Lepisosteus oculatus: one gene and its partners. The protein of the gene in region 1 binds, or shares a complex with, the protein of each later gene. Links are inferred from orthologs where the notes say so. Each region holds a gene or a part of one and is shown on either strand. Other genes may lie near its edges.

The links.
Region 2: the proteins of voltage-dependent calcium channel subunit alpha-2/delta-1 (region 1) and cacna1c are in contact, whole or in part, in a cryo-EM structure (PDB 8WEA), measured with the Homo sapiens proteins. The link is inferred for Lepisosteus oculatus from reciprocal best matches to the Homo sapiens genes CACNA2D1 and CACNA1C. Residues at the interface, in NP_001353796.1 of Homo sapiens: Thr170, Asp171, Tyr173, Ile233, Leu235, Gly262, Ser263, Ser265, Lys270, Thr274, Ala327, Lys328, Gly329, Ile330, Glu366, Gln391, His392, Tyr394, Ile416, Gly417; in NP_955630.3 of Homo sapiens: Phe147, Pro148, Glu149, Asp150, Asp151, Ser152, Asn153, Ala154, Asn678, Lys1090, Gly1091, Asn1092, Tyr1093, Ile1094, Tyr1096, Gly1099, Val1101, Pro1104, Ile1106, Arg1109, Tyr1156.
Region 3: the proteins of voltage-dependent calcium channel subunit alpha-2/delta-1 (region 1) and voltage-dependent R-type calcium channel subunit alpha-1E are in contact, whole or in part, in a cryo-EM structure (PDB 8EPM), measured with the Homo sapiens proteins. The link is inferred for Lepisosteus oculatus from reciprocal best matches to the Homo sapiens genes CACNA2D1 and CACNA1E. Residues at the interface, in NP_001353796.1 of Homo sapiens: Thr170, Asp171, Tyr173, Ile233, Leu235, Ser261, Gly262, Ser263, Ser265, Gly266, Leu267, Lys270, Ala327, Lys328, Gly329, Ile330, Thr331, Glu366, Gln391, Asn393, Tyr394, Ile416, Gly417; in NP_001192222.1 of Homo sapiens: Gln110, Leu112, Pro113, Glu114, Asp115, Asp116, Lys117, Pro119, Arg122, Asn630, Phe631, Asn632, Asp633, Gly634, Ile1330, Gly1331, Asn1332, Val1334, His1336, Met1341, Val1343, Arg1346, Arg1393, Ser1394.

What each region holds. Positions count from the first base shown.
Region 1 is NC_090702.1:47,618,509-47,626,387, forward strand, and holds the start of voltage-dependent calcium channel subunit alpha-2/delta-1, read right to left. Parts: upstream 3,092-7,879; 5' UTR 2,749-3,091; coding exon 2,657-2,748; intron 1-2,656. UniProt on the Homo sapiens protein: The alpha-2/delta subunit of voltage-dependent calcium channels regulates calcium current density and activation/inactivation kinetics of the calcium channel. Plays an important role in excitation-contraction coupling.
Region 2 is NC_090702.1:7,865,926-7,873,186, reverse strand, and holds the start of cacna1c (voltage-dependent L-type calcium channel subunit alpha-1C), read right to left. Parts: upstream 3,025-7,261; 5' UTR 2,601-3,024; coding exon 2,471-2,600; intron 1-2,470. Other genes in the region: dcp1b (mRNA-decapping enzyme 1B), read left to right, coding at 3,320-3,386, 5,470-5,599. UniProt on the Homo sapiens protein: Pore-forming, alpha-1C subunit of the voltage-gated calcium channel that gives rise to L-type calcium currents. Mediates influx of calcium ions into the cytoplasm, and thereby triggers calcium release from the sarcoplasm.
Region 3 is NC_090704.1:28,655,988-28,663,244, reverse strand, and holds the start of voltage-dependent R-type calcium channel subunit alpha-1E, read right to left. Parts: upstream 3,082-7,257; 5' UTR 3,074-3,081; coding exon 2,981-3,073; intron 1-2,980. UniProt on the Homo sapiens protein: Voltage-sensitive calcium channels (VSCC) mediate the entry of calcium ions into excitable cells.

The DNA of each region.
Region 1 (7,879 bases):
AAGCCCCCCAAAACTATATAAATGCAAGATGTATATATTTTTTATACTGTAATCAGGGCAGTTCCCATTACAGTGTGTGAAATGAGAGGTTGATCACACAGCAAATTACAGTAAGAAAGTGCAGTTGAACAAGCAACAAGCCAGACAGCAACTTGCATATGTACCGTATAAAGCATGCCGCAAATATAATAAGGAAAAGCATTTTAATGCTCCTGTTTGTAGAGAAAAGAGCTTGTGTTGCTTTTGTACAATTTAAATGAGCCCTAACACATACTGTATAAAGGAACCCTGTCATCTTTTATATCATCCACTATCCATACTTGCCCCAGGGTCTTTTTATCTTGTCTCCAAAAGAACTTTTGTTCACATTTTCTGACACTTTCATGGTTGTGGTGCAGTCAAAAACAGTTCAACAAAGGTACCCAGAATACAGATAACAAAAGTGATACCCACTCCTTTCCTCTGCTGACAAGAAACTAAAAATGCATCTGCACCACTGGCAAAAACAAGAGTCATAAGGATTAGCACTGCCTTCTAATTCGGACTTCCATATACACCATGTCAGATTCATGCATTTGTTATAAATGTAGACCGTATTAATGGCAAAGGCTAGGTGGCACAAGGTGATGAATCACTGTCTGCTCCTACTGCCAGTCACAATGCCCTGCCCAACAACAACAACAACAAAAAACTAACAAGTATATAAATATCTTTGAGACTTTCTCCATATAAGGTTTCGTTGTTTTCATGCGCGTTGTGAAAACAATTTAAGAAAAAATACAGTATATATATATAAAATACACAGCAACATGGCAACCTGATATTCAGTTTTCAGTTCATTATCGACCTAACCACTATGTATAAGTACGGGCACAATGTTTAATTATGAAACATTCTGTCTACAACATATTCCCTTTCTGAGTATGAATATGAAGCACTCAGTTTAAGTTAGGAAATCTCTCTATGGTTTATTTTAAGAAAAGGGTTCTACAGTATTACCACGTGCAATTTGTATTCTGGGAAAACAGTAACCACCTCGCACTTTGCTGGTTTATTTTCCTAAGCTCTCCAATCAAAATATTCTAAACACGATTGAGTGTTGATACACATAATTGCAGTTCATTTTCAAACTGAAGCTATAAAAGAGCGTGCAAAAAAAAATAAAAATCAATGCCATCACCGAAACACTAGTTCAAACAACTGTAATTCTACGAATGTTCGTAACGTATTGAATAAAAACTGGAGTTTAAAATAAATCATTCAGTAGTCTATGTGGAATAAACATACATGTAAACAAATCAATTGGTTTATTTTATTTATAAAAAAGGAAAAAATGTTTAACTTTAAATGTTAAAATATTTTTTATTGAATGTTATTTTGTTGATCCCCAAGGAACCTCCCTTACCGCCATATAAAACAAGTGTGTAATATAAAAAAAATAATATATATTAAAAATATCAAACAGAAAATACTTTTGTAGAGTTCTTCGAATTTGCAGACTATTAATTTAGAACTGCCGATTTTCAACAAGTTCTAAAAAACTATGTCTCATAGGGTGGTTTTTACATGTTTAAAGATCAGACGCTGTCATTTCGGCTTTTTCATATACTTTCCTAATATCCCAACTAATACTTTTATAAAACATTCATTTCAATAGGAATTTTGTAACTTCAATAGTTGATTGCAGTTCAAATATCTTGCTCATCACAGTAACAATGCAAGCTGTGCAAGATAACGTGTACGATTTGGTACCTACATTGAATGAACTGAAAAATGTAATTCTGTATATTTCTACAGAGCTGCATACAAACTGTCCATCGCTGTGAATTGCACTTTTATAAGCAGATACAGTACCTTTCGGCTCGCAACAAGTTGACATGAAAAAAGCTTTATCAAGCGACACGGCCACTAGCTTTCAACACTGATAATTAGTTGCCATGTGGTTTTATGAAATGCAGTATACAGTAAATTGATAATAACGTAAGAGCATGACCCGAATTGAGGAAAATGTACTTAAATGTACTTATATACAACAGACATCGCCGTAATCTAAAAAGGGTCACCTTCGCTGCTAGTACAGTAACAACTGAGCTGAGCAACAGTTTTAAATCTTTTTTTTTAAGAAAGCTACTGTATATTTGAATATACGTAATGAACCGGTACAGCGGATAAAGTCTTAAGAGTATCTATGATGAACAAAGCATATCATAGTGAAAGTTGCCACCCCCTGCCCTGCACAGATGAAGCTCTCACCGTACTGTATTTCGTCAACGCAAAAATTTTCAGTAACTGTCGCCTACCCATTGTCTGGCAAATTAAATCCTAAACCCAGTTTCAAATAGGATATGTCTGACTGCTAATTTAACGTCTTACCTTGAGCAAAGAAAACTACAATGAAAGAGTAATGCATAATCGCTGTTTACAGATTAGACCGCTACATGTTTCCTAGTACTGTATTAACACTAAAGACAAGTCAAATCATTGTTGTACAAAACAGATGGGAGGATGTCAATTTGTCACAAGTTTGATTTTATTTTAAAAACGGCAGCTGTTTTTAAAAACGGCAGCTTCAGCGCACGGGACTGCCAAGCATTTGGCAAACAGCTGAAAACCTCATGTAGCCTAGCTAGAAATGACCCCAACTCCTGTTACTTACAATATCTGAGAAGGAAACGGCTCCGTTGAAGAAAGATTGTTTAACAGGGAGAAGAGTACCAAAAAAAGGACGGATATCCTGTAAGAATCCATCGTTTAAACGCAATTTCCAGCACGCGAGGGGGGAAAAAATGCACCGATCCAGAATGTGATTAATGAGAGAAACGCACTGTAAGTCCACAGCAGCTTGTAGTGACACTTAGCCAGATAACAGTCTGTTACTCCACTAGCTAATCTGATCAGCCGCCATCAGCGCTACTTTCTAACAGATCGCGGCTGTTTTCTCTCTCTCTCTCGTTTCAGTTTCAGCTGTGTTAGTTTGTTTTCCTTAAATAGATGCAGTGAAATTGTATTTTGCAAGTGGGGTAGAACGGTCTTTATCTCCTCCTCTGCAATGAGAGACCAGTGTCAGACCCCACTAGATCAGTTGCACACAGTAAACCCCTCCGCCCCCCCCTCCGCAACCCCCCTCCTCTGTTGATGATGATCATGTACTGCCTTCCATACAAGGAAGAGAGGAACTCACCAACTCAGCAGCTGATCTCCTTTACCACCGCCTTTGATCAGATACACAACCAAGCCTCCTAATATAAACCTATTGGCAAACTTAAAGGAGCAAGACATTACATATCTGCAGTATAAGACAAGGACGACAACAGGTTAGGGTGAGAAAGGAAGCTGATTCTGTATTTGTTTCTTAAAACTGATCTTCTGAATGACTCTTAAAAAACCTGTTCTGTTTTCAGTTTTTATTCTTTGAAGAGTTGCCATTTAAACAATTAGCTCATATACATTTATGCCTGTTATGTGTCTCTTATATACTGATAACCAATGAAAATGTAACAGATGACTTTTACATCAGTAATTTACTGGGGACATATTGTAAATTGGGCTTCTCATCTTAAATTGTGAGCAATGTGTTTCTTGATAGTTTGGTTAGTATTGGAATATACCACCTCTGTAATGATCCTCTGAACTCTGACCACTTTCTGACTCCCCATCATCCCCACCAGGTAGGGAAGGTGGGGGTCCTGACTAATAAAGGTCAGGTACGTCAGGATGGGAACCTGAAACCACATACACAGGTGGGGAAACATGGGACAGCCACACACTTACACTCACATAAAATGCACACAAACCTCTGTACTCCTCTGTGAGTCTGAGGAGTTAACACTGTCCTTGATAGTTCCAAACTATCCCAAACAACTTCCTGTCTGTCCCAGCATGCTCTCCTGGGGCTGACATCACCAGCACCACTGCTTATCTGCTCAGTGCCCCATCACTGCCTGATGAGGATGCTACACTCTGGGTGACTAGCACACAGTGCACCTACAAAAGGGTAATAAAGTCAGTGAGCTGCAGTTCCCATATCCTGCCTCTCTTCATACAGGACCCACTCTGTATGGGAACACTAGGGGGGAATTGCTGCACTATTTTACCTTGGGATGACAAAACATAGAGTGCAAGCCGTGGGATTGCATAAAAACACCATGTCTGCCGTTTAAGTCAAATTGTAGTGGCCATGATGAGTTTTTGAAAGAGTCTGTCTAGCCATTCATAAAGACATTATTTAAATTGATGCAGGCAGCACTATCGCCTTGTATTCTAATCTTTTCAGATCTAAGAAGCTCATCGGGGTTGGGCCTGGTGAGTACTGGGAAGGGGAAACCTCTCAGGGAAACTAGGCTGCTGCAGTAGTGTTTGTGGACCAGTAGGTCAGAAGACTTCTAGTTCAATTCCCCATTGTAGTGACCAGGGACACTGTGTTTAATCTGCTCATCTGATGATAAACCAATAAATGTTCCAGGTTTTTACACGGCACTGTTCACAGAAGTAGGGGAGTTAACCATTTATAAGCAGATTTATAACCAAGTTCCCCTTTAATTTATCAGGTGACACAATATCTCTCTTCCTTTCTTGATCTCCTTTTGAGGGCTGCAGGTTCTGAATCACTGCCATGAGACACATACAGTTTACTGTACAGTAGATGCAAGGAAGAATCATTTCTTATTTTTCATTATATGACAATGTAGCCTTTGAATAATTAAGACCATGTGGTTATGTCTGACATAATTAAAGACAGCCTGTCAGTAAGAGATGTCCAGAGAATGAGATGTGTTACTTCAGCAACCTGCTGTCTAGTTCTAAGAAATCAGGAAACCAAATCCATGAGGAGCCCATGTCCTGAAGGGCTGAGAGCTACAGTTCCATGTCAACTCTTAACCCAGAACCAGAACCATCTGTCAGGTCCCAATACATAATTGTTTTCAAATCGCCATTTCTATAACACACTAAATTGCAGGACGAAATAACCTGTGCACCAGCAGAATTACTGTAGCTTGCTGTCTGCAGAAAAATAAATCTTCTACATGCAGGCTTTTAAAGAATAACACGTCGACAGCTGAGAGGTGTGAGTGCTGTCTTCTGTTGGCCAGAGAACATCTGAGCTGGCAGCAGAGAGAGTGGTGAAGTGTTCTATCCATTGATGAATGCTGTTTCGCCTTTGGCAGACCTGATGGAAGACAAAGTGTTGGGAGATACCATAGAGAGCATTATGGCAAGTATTGTGCCAGTGTCAAACAGTGACATGGTTTGAACTCTGTTGATGGGTGAGGAATCTGCTTTTGGTGCAGATTGAGGGCACCAAATCTGATAACTTTATTGCTCGTCGATACATTGACAAAGTCTCTTAGGCAGTGATTTTCCTATTCCTTCAGACCCATCTGAAAGTGTCAGTTTTCCATCAAAGCAATGATACAGCTTCAAGAAAACAGTGCTGAGGCCCTGTTATAGTCAGCACTTTCTCCTGACCTTAGTCCAATAGGGCATCAGTGAGACCAACTCATTAATGCCAGGAACAGGAGACAAATGCTTGTAGCTCTTCAGGTTGTAGTTGCACAAGAGGAGTGGCAGAGCATGACAGAAGAGACTGACCAAGACTGTGCTCCGGCACCAGCAGGATAGTATGTACTCTTGGGGAGACCAGAACTTTTTTTAAATGTTGACAGTAAGCCATGTTTCATTAACTCTTTGATCTGTATTTTTATATATTATTTTCTGTGATTTAATTTCCACAATATGTATAACAATTGCTGAACTCCATTAGATCTAAGCATTGCATTTCTTATGAGAAACAATATAGAGTTAGATACAGTACCCCTAACCTAATTAATGAAAACCTTGAATTAAAGTTTCATAAAAAATAATAGTTTAATAGCATGTATTTCACTCTAGAAATATAAATCACTGCTGCTTCAGTATTATCATAGTTATTTGTGTGTTTTTACCTTCAAGGTGACAGGTATTAAAGCTTTCATGTGTACATGCGATAGGGTTCATGTCTAATTTGTGTTGCTCGTGTGGCAAATTTGAAAAAAAATACCACCTTCTCACTTAAGATGCAAACACTATTTTGGAGGCATTGCACATTCTTCTTGCAGTGTTCCAAGCTTAATTATATCACAGTTAATCAATGGCAGGAGTTTGTTCACTAAAATAGAAGAGGACCCATAGTGAATGTCCTAACCACAGATTATATTTGATCCTATGGAACCCATTGGCTGTAAGTAAATAAACTAAGCATGACCCTCTTTAGAGCATAAATAGTATAACATCACACGCCTGAAAAGGGTGTTGGATGTTTCATCTGAAAAAGCAAAATAATTGTGCTTTGGGACTCTTACAACACTATTATAATATGCACACATGTTTTAACAAACAAAAAACAAAATCGGAGTATTGCTCTTCATTTAGGAATAGGTTGAAAATGAAAAATCATACAGGGCCACAGAGGCATAGTTACTGAATTCAAATCAAAGCAGAAATCCAGAATCTTGTGAAGTATAAAAATCAAGATACAGAAATTGTTTCATATATCTACAAAAGATCTTCACCAGAACCATTGGCTGCAATTTAATCACCTTAATATTGGTCAAATTCATTCCTTTTTAATTCATGGTTTGGAAATTAATTATATCTGAAGGGAATTAGTCAATGAATTGCAAAATCCTTTTTACAATCAGGGGAATTGTAAATCATCTCTCATTTGAGATGATTATATACAATGGTCCCTAATAAACAATGAATAGACAAATACTCAATTGTTAATAAGATGAAACAGTATATGCACACTTACCAGAAAAATCCCATTCTACATATACCATGGAGATGTTTAAAAGCCTTTTTGGTTTGTTTTTCATGTGCTTTGTGCTGTCCAAATATGACATTTCATTTTCAAGACTAGCACTGTAGGAGAACTCTCAGTCTTGAGATCGGGGTGTGGATTTAATATCTGTAGAGACTCATTCTGATCCTGTGGAAATACAGACATAACACGTGGCTTTTACTAATGTCAGTCACTAATCTGTGAACAAAAAGCCAAACAACAAACTAGAATTAACAGGATTAAGCATCATTACATGGGGTTTCTTAGGAATTACAAAACCCTGGCTTAAAAAAGCTTTAAAGCAAATTAATGAAATGTAACTATATGCTTACTTTAATTTTGTGGTTTCCAATAGTGCTCCATCTTATTATTACTATTATACCTTCATATGCTGTGGTTGTGAATTTCTTTCTATTTTTTTATTTTGCTTGCTCTGACATGTTTTTAGGCGATTGCAAAAAGCGTTACTTCAAACATTCTTCTCCCAACAAGAGAACCATTTCTAATTATTTCACTTTGGCTTCTAATTGCTGTGTATCAGATATCTCTAGTATTTCAAAAAATGAATTAATTAATCTTTTGTGTAAATATGTGTTCCCATATTTTTGATTGACAGAAAATCATTGTGGTATTTTCAATAAGAGTGTCAGCAACCTATGTAATTCATTTAATTAGCCTGAAAAGCATGTTCACATTTATTAATTGTAAAAACTGTCAAAATCATCGTTCTATATACAAATATTTTATTATATACAGTATAAACGATATTTTTTCCTTGGTGGTTTCAATAATAGAGGACTCAAATATTTTAAGGTGCATTATCTGAATGTGACTTTAAACATCTTCCCATTTTTTATTGTTTTAATACATCTTCATTCCTAAGGATCCTATAACGCATTATGTATAGTAGGGGACCCTCTTCATCCACCAGAGGTTACTATCCCAGTACTGACCAAACTCAATTTGTGCAGTTTCTGAGAGCTATGTAATGATGATAAGGGTACACACGCAAGGTAGCATTTGTGAACAACTGCAGTTTAAAAACAAATGTTTAATGCA
Region 2 (7,261 bases), about 40 Mb from region 1:
ATGCATAGGCTGCAAAGGAACAAGTAATAGGTTTATTCCATGCTGAAAAAAAGAAGAAAGCAAACACAACATTGTTTGCAATGGTCATGGCCGTCGGGGCCGTCTTCAGAGAACACATCAGGGCTGTGAAGATTAAAGATCTCTCCAAGTCTGTTGTTTCTTATTTCACCTCTGACGGCCACGACCACTCTAATCTCTCCGTCTGTGTTCTCAAAGATGGTTTTCCAAACTCATACATCAGAAAGACTACCGAAACCAAAATTATCCTGCAGCTAGGGTCAGACCTTCCCCCTTCTCTTAACGACATACTACTTTTCTTCTAAATTTTCTTCATTCATTAGAGGTTTCATTTCACACCTCTCTACACCTATTCTGACTTCACACCTCTTAATTGGCCTCTCTTTCTGTCCCCTGCTCCCACCTCTCGCTCCTCCTCTCTCCCAGCCTTTGTTCTCCTGCTACATTACCGTTGCCTACTGCCTTGTCTTTCTCACACCTGAAGAAGGCTCCACGGCCGAAACGTTGTGTTTTCTTTCTTCTTTTCTTCAGCATGGAATAAACCTATTACTTGTTCCTTTATAGTAATACACTTTGAATACATGTTGAAATCTGCTCAAAACTGTTACCATGGAAGGATAGAAATATGCACCCAGATACAAATTTTCTAGTGCTGCAAGATGTGTTTCTGTAGCAGGTTGATAAAATTACTGACGGGGTCCACCGGCTGTCAAATCACATTTCAGAAATGCTGTAAATACCGTCAAGGTTATATATTTAATATGGGAAAAGTCTGTGACAAGCAGGTTATTTTAAACTTTTTTTATGGGGTTTTAGTGTCCCTGCTGAGAACACCAGCGATTTGACATGGCATTTTATCTCCCTTATCCACCACCAAAGCCATTTATGTAGCTGCAGCACACCAGGAGTGTAACCTGTGAGGTGAAAAGGAGCCGGATGAACGGTTACAGAGGTGTTCTGCATGGTGATGATTGCAGCCCTTTATAATCAACACCTGCTTTCACAGCAGACAAGACTGAAGACTATTCTCTTAAGTGCGGAAATTAAGTAGAAGGATGTACAAAATTAAAGATGAGTCAGAAGGAACCACGCCCCGATCTGAAACGGAAAAGCACAAGAAAACTGGAAATGACCAGCACTGTACCCAGTACCCACTATACCCATGCAAAACCAAGTAGAATATCCATAAAATGTTACAAGGAATTTTGAAACGTCTCTGAAAAACAGCTAATGGCTAAAGGCACATAACATGATTTTACAGATCATAAAACTGGTTGGAAGAATTGGTTTGTGGCTTAATAAGGAGGACGATAATGAATGAAGAATATGTCAGAAGGAGATGGTGATAAATTTTAAAAAATAGGAATGTTTCCCTTTTGTAAGTTTTCAAGAGGAATTGAGCAAAACGTTTAAGTCTCATTTTCTTTTCAAAGCATAAAGCACTCAAATACATATAAAAATAGGGAGATTGGTGATAATCATAGTAGCTTGAGACCAGTTTGCTCATAAAGGACTTTCGTCTCCTTTTATGGTGCAAAGGTATTTTGGTGGGCAGTGAGCTTGCGTGTCTGGGCTTCTCTCTTGAGTGTCCTGCCAACACCAGAAACCAAGCCAACCGAGATAAGATAAAGACAGTTCTCAAATACACATGAAGCCCCTTCACATGCAGTGCCCACTGTAAGTCTTGATTCACTATGATGAACTTAAATGGCTGTGGTGTATTGCAGTAAGTGGCAGCCTCATTATTAATTGATAGATCTCATAATTCAAGTAACTGTATTTTATTTGCTCCTATTTAGAGGGCTGGGGCTGTTTAAGTTGACACATAGAGGCATTTTCAGTTTTATCACAGAGTCTAAATATGGTAGAAAGTGCAAGTAATTTCTACTGGGGCACTTGCCAGCGATTTGCTTTTTTTCACCTCGAAATCACGAGTCATACTGAATGACAAGCTACCCTTTACGTTTTCTTCATGTTTTGAGATTGTCTTTCTTAATTAACTGGGATATTTTAACTGAGATTCTGACATCCCTAAAATAACCATTCATTCAGAACTTCAGAGGCAACACCTGTAAGGGTTTTTTAAAAAAGCCTTTTTTTAGACCTTTGTAATCAGATGGTTTTATACTCGGTAACCTAGAGTGGCCTAGCAAAGGAATATTTTTGTGGCAGAGTGTCTTTGTAATTGAACCGCTAAACATAATTTCATGCTGATTTCAGTGACATAAGACTTAATAGAAAGACTTAACAATCCCTTTGAAAAGTGATAAAAAGACATTCTTCATAGAATAACTTATTGTAAGTTAGAATAAAACATCTAATCTGTTCTCAAATACTGTGTTGTGCAAAATGTAATTGTACTTTGTAAAAGGAGTAAAAAAGCCACAAATCACATTCTAGAACATTAGAGAATATAGTTTCAAGAATAGTCTGTAATTAGCAATGATCTTACCTCCAGGGCGGACATAGGTATAGTTGAGTTGCGTCTCGGACACAAGTTTTCCTTTGTATTTGGCATCTGGCTCTGGTGGCAAGCGCTGGTGCCTGGGCTTTCTATGCAGGGTGAATGCCTTCTGAAACATGATCTATCACCACTGTGGTGTATAATGAAGAACACAAATCAAAATCCTTAGAATCCTTTGTGCCCTCTCACCTGGTTTTCTGTATTCATGTGTCATATAAAAAACTCCGTGCCAGTTTCAGTCAGAGAAACAATTTCATGTAATCCTTAAGCGTGACCAAGCCGGTGTTCAGGAGCAGAATCCCACACAACTGAGGTTCACGAAGCTGGCGACGTTACACGGCACTGTACCTCTTCAGAGGTCCGCTGGCAGTATCGGTCTGCCTTTGTCAGGATATTTCTTAAGTTATCTGCCGCCTCAGCCCCTCTACTTGCCCGCTTTGTTTTTCTCTTTTATCTTCCACATTTTTTGGCTGCCCTGTCTCTCTCACTTCTGTTTGCAAGATTTATCTGAGGAGGTGTGGGGAAATGTTCACTGTCTGCTTGTCACCGACGCTCTTGACCCAAGCCCGATCAGCTTCGCCTTTCCTCTCAGCAGCATGGCTTTCCAAAATTCCAGCCCCGGCTACGACCCCGCCCTCTCCATCCCTGCCTAAGAGTTCCAGCTGATAAGCCCCTTGGGGCAGCTCTGTCACCTGAACATTTTCCAAATACTGTACATTTTGTTCTTCTCTGTCTTTAATATTACCATTAAATTGAATTTGTTGAAAATAACATCAAGATCTGTCCTGTCCCCTGAGCTGTTATAACCAGAATCTGTCTGTTATTTTTTGTTTCCAGTGTCCATTTATGGGATCTGGTTTTATGACAAGGAGGACTGTCAGCGGATTGCTGAGCTAATGAAGAAGTACGTTCATTTCAAATGTATTGTTTGTCTGCATCTAGTTATTACACCGGTTTGTAGCTCTACATTGTATTGTGTCATCTTTCAGCCAGTCCATATCCATAAATATTTGAATTGCTGTCACAGTACTTCTTGTTTATGCACAGCTATAGAAGTATTGTGGTGTGATCCATCCAAAGATTATGTCATCCTGTTACTGTGTCTCATTCCACACTCTCCCACTTAATCTTTCTTCTTTTCAAATGCTCGCTCAAAATCTGGATCAGTGGTTAGGAGGTGATGGTGTTCTGTATTATACATGCCTTGGCAACAGTGGATCAGAAATCCATTTACATGCCTTGCACAAAATGTTATGCTTGTCAAAGTCTCAGCATGGGGGAACATTCCTGACGTTCATTTTTGTGTCAGAATATTAATTTAGAGCCTACCTGTTATGGAAGAATGATGATTCAGCACTCATGGGATCTAGCTAAATACTTGCAAGGCACAATAAGGTTTTGCAATTGTTTATTTGCTCTCCTTTCCCTATCCTCTGTACTTTAAAGCCACACAATACAGTGTCTTTGGTTTGGTCTTGTTGCTACACTGTGAAAGATGAGATAACCTTAATCTTATCAGTTACAGCCTCCTAAAATATAGGTGTTATTTTTAGTTTTTCCAGGAAACACCTGTGGGCATTTGTTATCTTTTGCTGTCGTCTTAATCAGATCATTTAAGCATTCCCCTCTGTAGATTATAGGACATTAATAGAAGCCACGGAGAATGTGTAAATTTGAACTTAAATGTCTTTGATTGAAATAAGTGGATCATTTTTTAAGAAATACAATGTATATCTATATACACTTTTCAAATGTGCACTTGTCACTGTCTGGACCATTAAAAAAAATTAGGCCATTACAATTTTTTGCAATATTAAATCTTAAAATAAAGCCTGTTAACCTCAAGGGAAAATCAAGAGCAGAACAAAAAAAATACTATCCCAAACTGCAAATCATAATGTGCTGCATCATTGTGGGATAACTTTATACTCTACAACATGACACAGAAAAAATCTGGGCCACTGAATTTGCCTTCCACCAGTACAAGGAGACTGGGGTTCTCAATTAAATCAGTTTGGTAGATTACTGAACTCCCAACAACACACCTACTATTCAGTAGGTTGCCAAAATTGGGCAGGCTGTGAAGATTGAAGATCTCTCCAAGCCCATCATTTCTCATTTCACCTCTGACGGCCATGATCACACTGATCTCTCCGTCTGCGTTCTCAAAGTAGGGTTTGTTAACTCGACAGCAGAAGGAAATCAGAAACTAAAATTATCCTGAAACTTGGTTCACACCTTCCCCCTTCTCTCAACGATAGACTTGTTTCCTTCTTATTCTCTCTATTCATGTGTAGGTTTCATTTCACACCTCTCCTCCCCTCTCGCGACCTCGCACCACTTGATTGGCCACTTTGCCTCTCCCCTGCTCCCGCCTCCTCCTCTCTCCTGGGTTTTGTTTTCCAACACTATATGTTCTTTGCTGACTGCCCTATCTTTCTCACACCTGAAGAAGGCTCCACAGCCGAAACATTGTGTTTTCTTTCTTCTTTTTTCAGCATGGAATAAACCTATTACTTGTTCCTTTGCAGCCTATGCACGCATGCTGATGCAGCTACCCACCTGAACTGATATTATTATTCATCTTCATGTCTCATTTAATCATTATAGTACACATTTATAAGGTGTATGTCTACCCTTTAGATAAAATTACCTATACAGTGTTTAACAATCAATTATGTTTTAGTGTTTCCTCAGACACTGTAAGTGCTTCTCCTTCTTGTTCTGTGTGAGGCAGTGGCTCAGGAGGCTAAATTGAGAGTATTATTTCTGAAATTGGCTCTGTGGTATAGAGACAGTTTCAAGCAAATGATAATTATATGGCAATCAAGTGCGTTCTGCACTGCAGGGCGGTATAGTTTGATTTTGTAAAATGCACTCTTACAAATGTGCAGCAACAGTGTACATTTAGCCTCAGGACTTTGCAGCTCTGTGCAGTATGTTTATACTAGATGGATTATGCTCTGGTGACTTTCCTCCTCCTCCAGTTTAACGCAGCAAGAACAACTGAAAGCTCAGCATGGGGGAGGCGTGTCTCCCAAAGCTCTGCACTCAGGGGACAGTAAAGGGGTCGACATCCTCCAGATGCTGAACAAGGCCAGGGATGAGTATGACAAGGTAGGTTTAATTACTAGTATACCACTAGGTGGCACTAGTGTCAACTGATACCCTCAGCTCCAAGAACAGTGTATCTCAGCTGATAAGGAGTAAATTACATTCCTGTAAGTATTTAGTATTGTTTTATTTTTAACATAAACATAAAATTCTAAAAATAACTTCATTTCTCTGTAATTGTACTGAGAGGATTCTAAGGCATATGAAAAAAAAAGATTTTAAAGTATTAAAATTAACTTTTGTACCAAAAGTCAAGAAGTGTTTGGAGTAGGGCTAGTGTTGAGGAACCAATTTACAAAAAATAGCAGAGATTTGCTTCCCATTAAAGTAGGTTATAAGCTTCTCATTGGAGCCCCATGTAGTTTTATAAAGGTTGTTGAGAACAACAAGGAAGAAGCACCATGTAAAAAAAAAACTTGTGAAGTTGTCTTTTGTCTCATTCTTATGAAAAAGACCCAAGTGTTTATGTTAACAACTCATTTACATCTTCTAGACAATGTGAAGAAGCAATTAAAAAACTAACAAATAATAGGATATATAAAGCATAGAAGTTAAAGCAAGGGATGTTATGTGAAGATTGTATGATGCACTAGCAATGCCTCATTTATACAGTTGTGTACAATTTGGGTCATCGAAAAGACATTGCTTCTGTGGGATCAGTCCAGAGAATCTACATCCTGGGGCTTCAGGAAATATCCTACACTAAAAGGCTTCAAAAGAAAAAAATATTCAAAATAAATGGCACTGACAGTCGACACAGCAGATTTCTTCACTAAACAGTGAAACATGAAGTGGAGGACTCTAAGTGTAAACTAGATGGAAGTGCATTTTAAAACAAGAACAGGAGACACTTCTGTACCCAAAGAGTTGTGGGAGTCTGGAACAAGTTACTTAGCCATGTTGTTGAAGCTGATACCCTAACTTTTCTGAAGTTAGGCTGGATGAAATCCTTGGACAGTTAACTACTAACCTCCAAATAGGTTAGATGGGCCAGATGTCCTCCTCTTGTTCGTTAGTAATGTACATTTTCACTGTGAGTGTTAAGGGACTGAGGCTCACTACCTTGACATTGCAAGAGCCAAACCAATAAAAAAGAAAATGCATTCCTGAACCTTTTCTTAGCTTGGCCAAAGCCATAGGTTCTTATCCTGTGAAAATGCTGATAGGATACCTGCTTCCTTATTGAGCATTAACTGTCTGGGATTAATAAGGCATAGCAGCAGTTTACAAGATATTTTCTGCTTCATCATATTTTGTAATCTTCTTTGTTCTCTTCTTTCTTTTTTGCGAAGGTCCTCTTCTCCTTTGTTCTTCTTTCCTCTTAATGCTTGGTGTTATTTTTAATGACATTTCAGGAATATTTGCTTTTGAAAAGACATTATATAAGATAATTTCTTGTATTAGGAATTTGTCTTTTCGTATACCCCAACTTGCTCTCCATGAGACACACAGACAGGGAGAGAAGATTGGGGCCAGAGCACAGGGTTTGCGATTTATGCGACGCCCCTGGAGTAGTTGGGGTTAAGGGCCTTGATCAGGGGCCCAACGGAGTAGGATTCCTCTGCCAGCTGCAGGATATGAACCGGCAACCTTCCAGCCACAGGCGCTGATCCTTAGCCACAGAGCCACCGCACCGTCCCATCAGTGCAGATTTCTTAATTTTGT
Region 3 (7,257 bases), on another chromosome or scaffold:
ACTGAATGATGTAAATGATTTATCATTTTATCCATACATGTTTACAGTGGATAAGGTGATGTAAAATTTATAGATCAAATAAGGCCTTTTATTTACCCTGCAGAACAAATAGTGGAAAAACGTTACTTGGAAGAATTGGAAACTATTTGATATAGACATTGACATTTGACTCATTTCATTTGTATTTATTCTGCTGTATCATTCAGGAGGGCCTACAATTAAAATGCATATGGGACACATGCAAATGCACTGTAGCAGTTCAGAATATTATCAGAGTATGGTACAGCCTTCCTAATCAAATCTGCAAATCTGTACACGTCTACTGTAAGTATCATGGCAAATTGACCTTAAACACTATACTTTCATAAGAACCCCCAGTCAAACCAATTACACACTAAATGAAACCAATTTCATTCTTCTATTGCAAGATGACCTAGTGAATACCCATGGGAATCAGAATACGTGTGACTTATATGTACCAGAAAAAAAATGTGACTGGAAACAAGCATTAATGATGGAAATCCGGAGAAAACGCAGACCATGAGACATTCGTTTTCATTCAATTTGTAAACAGGATTTCCTTTTCTTACTGATTATTTAATCATACCTTTCTATGCAACAATAAACAGCAAAAGAAGTCAAGGATGCTTATTTGAAGAGACTGAAGTGGCGAGCTACATCAGAGTGCATTGGCGGCAAAGGAAGAAATAACGTTCAATTCCACATTGAACACCAGAAACATAACATTTCAGCTGTTCAGGTGAAGAATAATTTGCTTCTTTTCTCTATCTTTGAGCATGGAATTAACTCTTACGTGTTCCAAGGATACTTTTCTGCTGCTCCTGCAACGGACGTACTGTAGCCATGAGATTGGACTTCCTCAAGACCTCTAGATACAGTACTTTTGTTTCTATACATTATATAAACATTGTTAAACAAAATACAGGCTGACAGATGTAGTTCTGGTGGCTTCAATGTCTGAACCCCATGAATGTCCTCACAGGCCTCTCATCCATATATTGACAAGGCCCAATTCTTGTGGAGCCTGTGACATAGGATTTGATCATACAGTATGGCTACAGGTGTTGAGGAAGTCAGCATTTGATGCTTTCTAAATTCACCCAAAGTGATATTAACAGCACAGTTTGTATCATGGTTGTGTTGTCCTGAAAAGCTATATTGCATGCCATTATAGATGTTCTTCAATGGCATCCACTCTCTGAAAGTGTCAGATGTTGCTTTTCCTGGATCTTGGAGTAGTAAAGCTATTGGTAGCAGATATTGAAAGAGGATATTAGTATTTCAAAAACATTTAAAACTGCATTAACCAAACTATGTTCTAAAGGACAGTAGCTGATAAAAAAGCAGGTAGGGCCAGTGATAAGGATTATTATGGGACATTTCCTTAGGGTAGCCACTTGCTTCTTCCTCTTCTCTTTACATAAAATAAGAAAGTATTTTAATGATTATGTAGTTTTGTATTCTAATCTCATTGGAATAATGTCCATTTTTCATTCTTCTTCTGATATATGTCTATTTGTTTTTATTTTATTAACACTCATTCTGTTTTCATTTACTGTTTTATAATCCACTGTAATGGAATCCCAAAACTACAGTATATACTGTATCTGGCAGTTCTAGCTTTAAAAGAAGACAGCATTTGGTTAATGAAGAGTCCTTTATATTGTGGAGGTGTCCCCACATCATCTGTTTGTCAGGAATTTCTCTCTTTATGGAAACAATTTCTCACATCTTGTCCCCACATTAATAGTAATATGTGCCCCACCCACACACACTCCCACATAAAACAACACAGCAAGTAACAAGCAAGGTCAGCTGAAGCAGCAATCTAATAGCCTCCATTTTCTCATGGAGCTGTTCTTTTCTTTCAAGTGCTCTTCACAGCTGTGCTGAGAGCACAACAGTTATGGTAAAAACATCAAAATAAATGAGAAAGAGAGCTCAGAGTACATATCCCTTGAGGAATATATATATTCACTACACCTTCAACACAAAGGTGTAATCCACTGCAACCTCACTTCCTAATTGAGGGCCTGTCCTAGAAGCAGGTTTTTATTCTACCTGAGCTCTCAGTTAACTAATGGATATATTTATTGTCTAACTTGTACTAATTGACCAGGTTTGTTCAATTCTAGAGATGTAAAGATGCCTATAAATACAGCTGGATTACTGCCTTCCAGGACTGAAGTTATTAAATGTTGTCCTGGATGTTTACAGAGTGATACAGTCCATCAGGTATAGTTAATCTGATTTATAGGCACAACCCTGACTCAACCTGTGCAAGCTCTTACAATGTGAAACTCAAGTTTGATGGGTTGAGCAAGGCAAAATTATGATGTCCACCTGGAAGGGACAGTGTACTCATGGCTTGGAACAGTATTCGGTGAGAAGACAGAATAGATCCTTGAGTTAAAATTTAATGCATTCATGCTTAGCGTCCCTTCTTTATCTTAATACAAGTGCATTCTAAATGGTCCTATACATACTGTTTTGTATGTGTATGTGTACACAATGTAAATGGTTTCTGACTACATTTACAATAGGCCAACTCATTAAAATGAAACCCTACGCATTTGTTAAATCTAATTTGAAGAGCGAGTGTAAAAATGTTTATTAACCACTCTGCTTTAAGGAGATGGTAGATTTCCGGAGTGTTGCCACAGACATTGTTTGGGGCCTCCATTGGAGCTGTTGGACCATACTGCAGTTCCCATTTATCAGAAAATTGGAGGGAGGTACCACTGAGGTTAATAGGGGTGGATATAGGGGTTTTGAGTGGGGGGAGACTGTTATTTAGATTTTTAATAAAATGTTCACATTGAAAATTCACACTGCCAATTAGAATTTGAATTTAACTGCATAGGAAACATTTGTGCCATTCAACAAAGAATATTGAAAGACCTTTGAATTCTGCTTGCACATATTGTAAATATGATTATTGTAGTACAGAATTACTCACCAGTCTCTTTGACATGGGTGTCTTGTCATCTCCGGGAAGGTGCTGCTCCAGAGCCAGAACAATGCAGTTTGCTATGATGGTAGCCAGGATCATGTATTCAAAAGGAGTGCAGACAGGTTAAGGAAACAAACTTCTTGAAAGTAAATAAAAACAACAGAATGTTTAATATAACCAACAATTAAACATTTGAATAAAACGTCTTGCAACTGTGTACATTTTTTTGTTTAAAAAAAGACACAGAATTTTAAGGTGACTAGTGACCAGAAAAGAAATGTGACATTCTTTTCCCCTCTGTCAAATATACAGATATTAAAGATGAAATAGCATTCTATGTTTGCACTATAAATTGATGAATAGCATAAATTAAATGAGAATTAATGATCATTAATATATATATATATTACACCACATATAACATTTCTCATTAAGAAGTATTATTCCTAGATGACTTTAGTTTAATAAATGTCCAGGTGCTTTACAACATGATAATAGACCATGAAATCTAAATGAAACAGAAGAGAATAACTTCAGGATTTTAGCAGCAACCACAACAAGCCTGTCACTGTAATGTATCCAGAAAATCTGGAAAGTACGTCAAAGCAAAGTTCAGATGATTTCTATTCTAGCAACAGTAGTTTTTTTATTTTAATACAGCTGTTCAGGCATATACTGTAGCTTCATCAGTTTATACACAATGTGTGAATAAATGTAGAGCCCGAAGTTTCAAGAAATGTAACTAAAAAGTCGGCAATTTTATTCACCTGCTTTAATGAAAGTCTGACAAGTAGGAATGTGAGGAATGAAATGCAGAAGAGCACAAGTGCTTAATTACATCAACTTTACCCAAGATTTAAAGAGCAACGTCAAATATTTGCAATGCAATATGTCATTTTATAATTGTTTGCAGTGCCAAGGGTTTATTACTTCGGTAGCTCCAGTCTAACCTACCACATCTACTGTATTAATATCCTGCCAAGATGAAAAGAGTAAATAAGGTCTAATTTAATAAGAATTTACAGAAGTAATTTCTGTTCTAGAGTACCATTTGTGAGCTAAATGGTTAGACTATATACTAATCACCAAGGGATGTGGGCTCAGAATTTACTACTGAATGAGCTGTACTGTACTTCTCCATTATCAGTTGTACCTACAGTATAATGCAAAGCTGATGCAAAAAGGTTGGCCACAGCGGTTGAAATGGATTCAGTTTCTGTAGACTAATAAAAAAAAACATTTTAAGATTAAAATTCATACCTTCACTGATTCAATTATTCTGCCTGTAAAATGTAAGAATGACATCCAAATAGGAACCATGCCAATTCATCTGGGCACATCATAATAATGGAATCCGTGTGAAGCATAGGATCAAAAGCAACAGCAGCATTCTGTACACCTCTCATTGGGTCGTATAAATGTGAGAGAAGAAGGGAGAGGGGCTTTAATTCGATGTGGGGTGCAGAAAAAGCTGAAGATTTAGTTAAGCTCTAACATAAAGGCGGCAACATCAAAAATGTACAGTTTCCAAAGTGTAGCATCCCACTCTTTAATACTTATATACTTATGTTAATACCCCTTATAAAAAAGCTTCCTATTTATAGGATACAAGAACAAGTTTCTTGCTTTTTTCCAGCGTACAAATCCTGCTTATCCATGCCTTGGCTGCCTTACAGTGCTCTTACCACCTCCAGATCTAGCAGTACAAAGCAACAGATCCTTCTACAGCCCCAGAGCAAGAATGGGACATGAAAAGGTCTTTGCCACAATGTGAGACTGCAGGAGATGGGCTGCCTCCTCTGCGTTTCTTCAATGCATGATGGGACCAAGGAGAGTGGGAGGAAATAGCATGTAACACAAACAAAGGCTTCTCTCTGGGTTTCAGGATCTTCCCAGAGTTCCCGAAGGTTGCAGGTTCGACTCTAGCCTCAAGACAGCCAGGGAATTAGCTATGCACTCTTTGCCAGGGTGCGTGGGCATGCCATTTCTTCAGATACGTAAAATAAATAATAAACGAATAAACGTCTCCTTTGCCAACGGGGATACATCAGAGCAAACATTGCTGCCAACCAGCAGGAACAGCAGAAGGGCCACAGAGACACCCACACTGTCCTTTGGGGAAAAAGAGATGATACATTCATTTAATAATGCTTGTATTTTCAAACCTGGATTAATGTTATCTGAACAGCCAAAAAAATAAAATAAAAAGGAGGCACGGCTTTATGTATCGAACAAAACAGACCGATTACTAGCTAGGAGAGATTTAATTCTGAGTTGTTTATTTACCATGGCAGTGTTTCAGCACAGTCAGTTACCTCAGCCAGTTAGGTTTATTGTCAATCCTCAGTGTGAATACCGTCTAACTGAACTGCGTGCTGATCAGAGTTGGGCCTCCTGTCTTCAAAGTCATAAAGCTGTCTATTTTTACAACAAAGGGAAACAGTTTGACAGTTTGTGCACACACATTCCTGAAATACCTAGTGAAATCTGAAAGCAGACGCCATGTTGATGTTATTTGCCTCTTCTCACTAAAAATGCAAAAATAAACTGACATCTACAGTACCTCAGGCAAGATAAACAAAATATCATTTATTACTTGAAAAATAAGTCTTTTTAGGAATATTTTTCATTCTACAGTATATGAATATATAAAGATAAGGCTTGTCCCATTTTTCTGTATATTATTAAGTAATCAAGTACTAAATATAGTAAGTAAAGTACTAAATTAATATTCTGATAATTCCGATTATTCATTAGTTTTAAACAGTTATTTTGTACAGTATTTCATTCAAAATCCTTATACAACAGGAGGAATAAATGAGATCATGGGTGTTCATACTTTCTGTTTGTAGCAATTATATCAGGGAAAACCTGCAGAAAACTTCCAATGTTGCTTCTAAACCTTCACAACTTTGAGAAGAAAAAAAACTTTTCCATAAACAATGATACAAATATGGAGGCTGATGAAAGGGACACACAGAACTAATGAGTGGAGGACAATTAAGGCAAACAAGAAGACAAAATCCCTTTATTTATCCTTAACTAACATGCACTGCAACACAAGATACTGTATACTCTAAGATATTCAGGTGGGTAGCTGCGTCAGCATGCGTAGGCTGCAAAGGAACAAGTAATAGGTTTATTCCATGCTGAAAAAAAGAAGAAAGAGAACACAACGTTTCGGCCGTGGAGCCGTGGACACCTGAAGAAGGCTCCACGGCCGAAACGTTGTGTTCTCTTTCTTCTTTTTTTCAGCATGGAATAAACCTATTACTTGTTCCTTTGTACTCTAAGATATTGTTCAACTAAAACAAATACAATTCTTTGATAATTTTAGCACCAGTCAGTCTCCATTTTCTTTTTTACTTTTTTTAGCCATTCACATGGCTTTCCAGCAGACCTTCTGCTCCAGTCTGCCAACCTGTCAGTCCTATTCATCTTTTGACAGGAAGCAAGTTTCACAATGCCTTAAAACACAGGTTCCTAGTCCTGGTCCTGGGGGCTCACACACCTGCTGGCTTGTGCTCCAGCCCAGCTCTCAGATACATAACTAAACACCTACTAATAGGATAAACACAACGGAACACTCAATCTGAAATGGTTGACTGTTTTTCTGCTCTTACGCATGATGGTGGCTGCCATCTAATTCTAAAATCCAAAACACTTGTGTAGAAAAATAACTTATACAAGTACAGTACAGTATATAGTCCAATCAAGCAATTCTCTCATTCAATCAAGGCTTCAATTGGGTAATTAAGCTCAGCAGATATGAGTTTGTTGAGAGCCAGGGCTGGGAATTCTAGTTCTAACCAAACTACTCGCACATCTCTCATTGATATCAATGCAAGTCTGCAGCCACCTGGCAAGTCAAGCTGCTTATAAAGAAGTCAGGAAGGACTGGGCAATTTACCCTACTCAAGCAAAACTGCCAGATGTACACCTGATCTAAGGAAATCCCACTCCATTGACTAGTGATATTACCCAGGCTCAAAGTGGTGATGTATGGGCATTAAACGTTTAATGCAAACCACTGCTGAGTGGTTGGGAGCCCACATTCTCCTGTTTCTAAAAGTACAGATCTACATGAAGTATAATTGTTTTTTACTTTTCTTTTGTTTTTAACTGTAATGGAATTCAGAACATTTCCTCCTGCATATATTTTTATTACATGTTCTATTTTTGACAACACAACGTGGATAACCTTTTCAATGACGCAGAAAATGACTTTACCTGCCACTCTGGTAATGGAAAAAAAAATCTGATCCTCAAACAAAAAACATTAA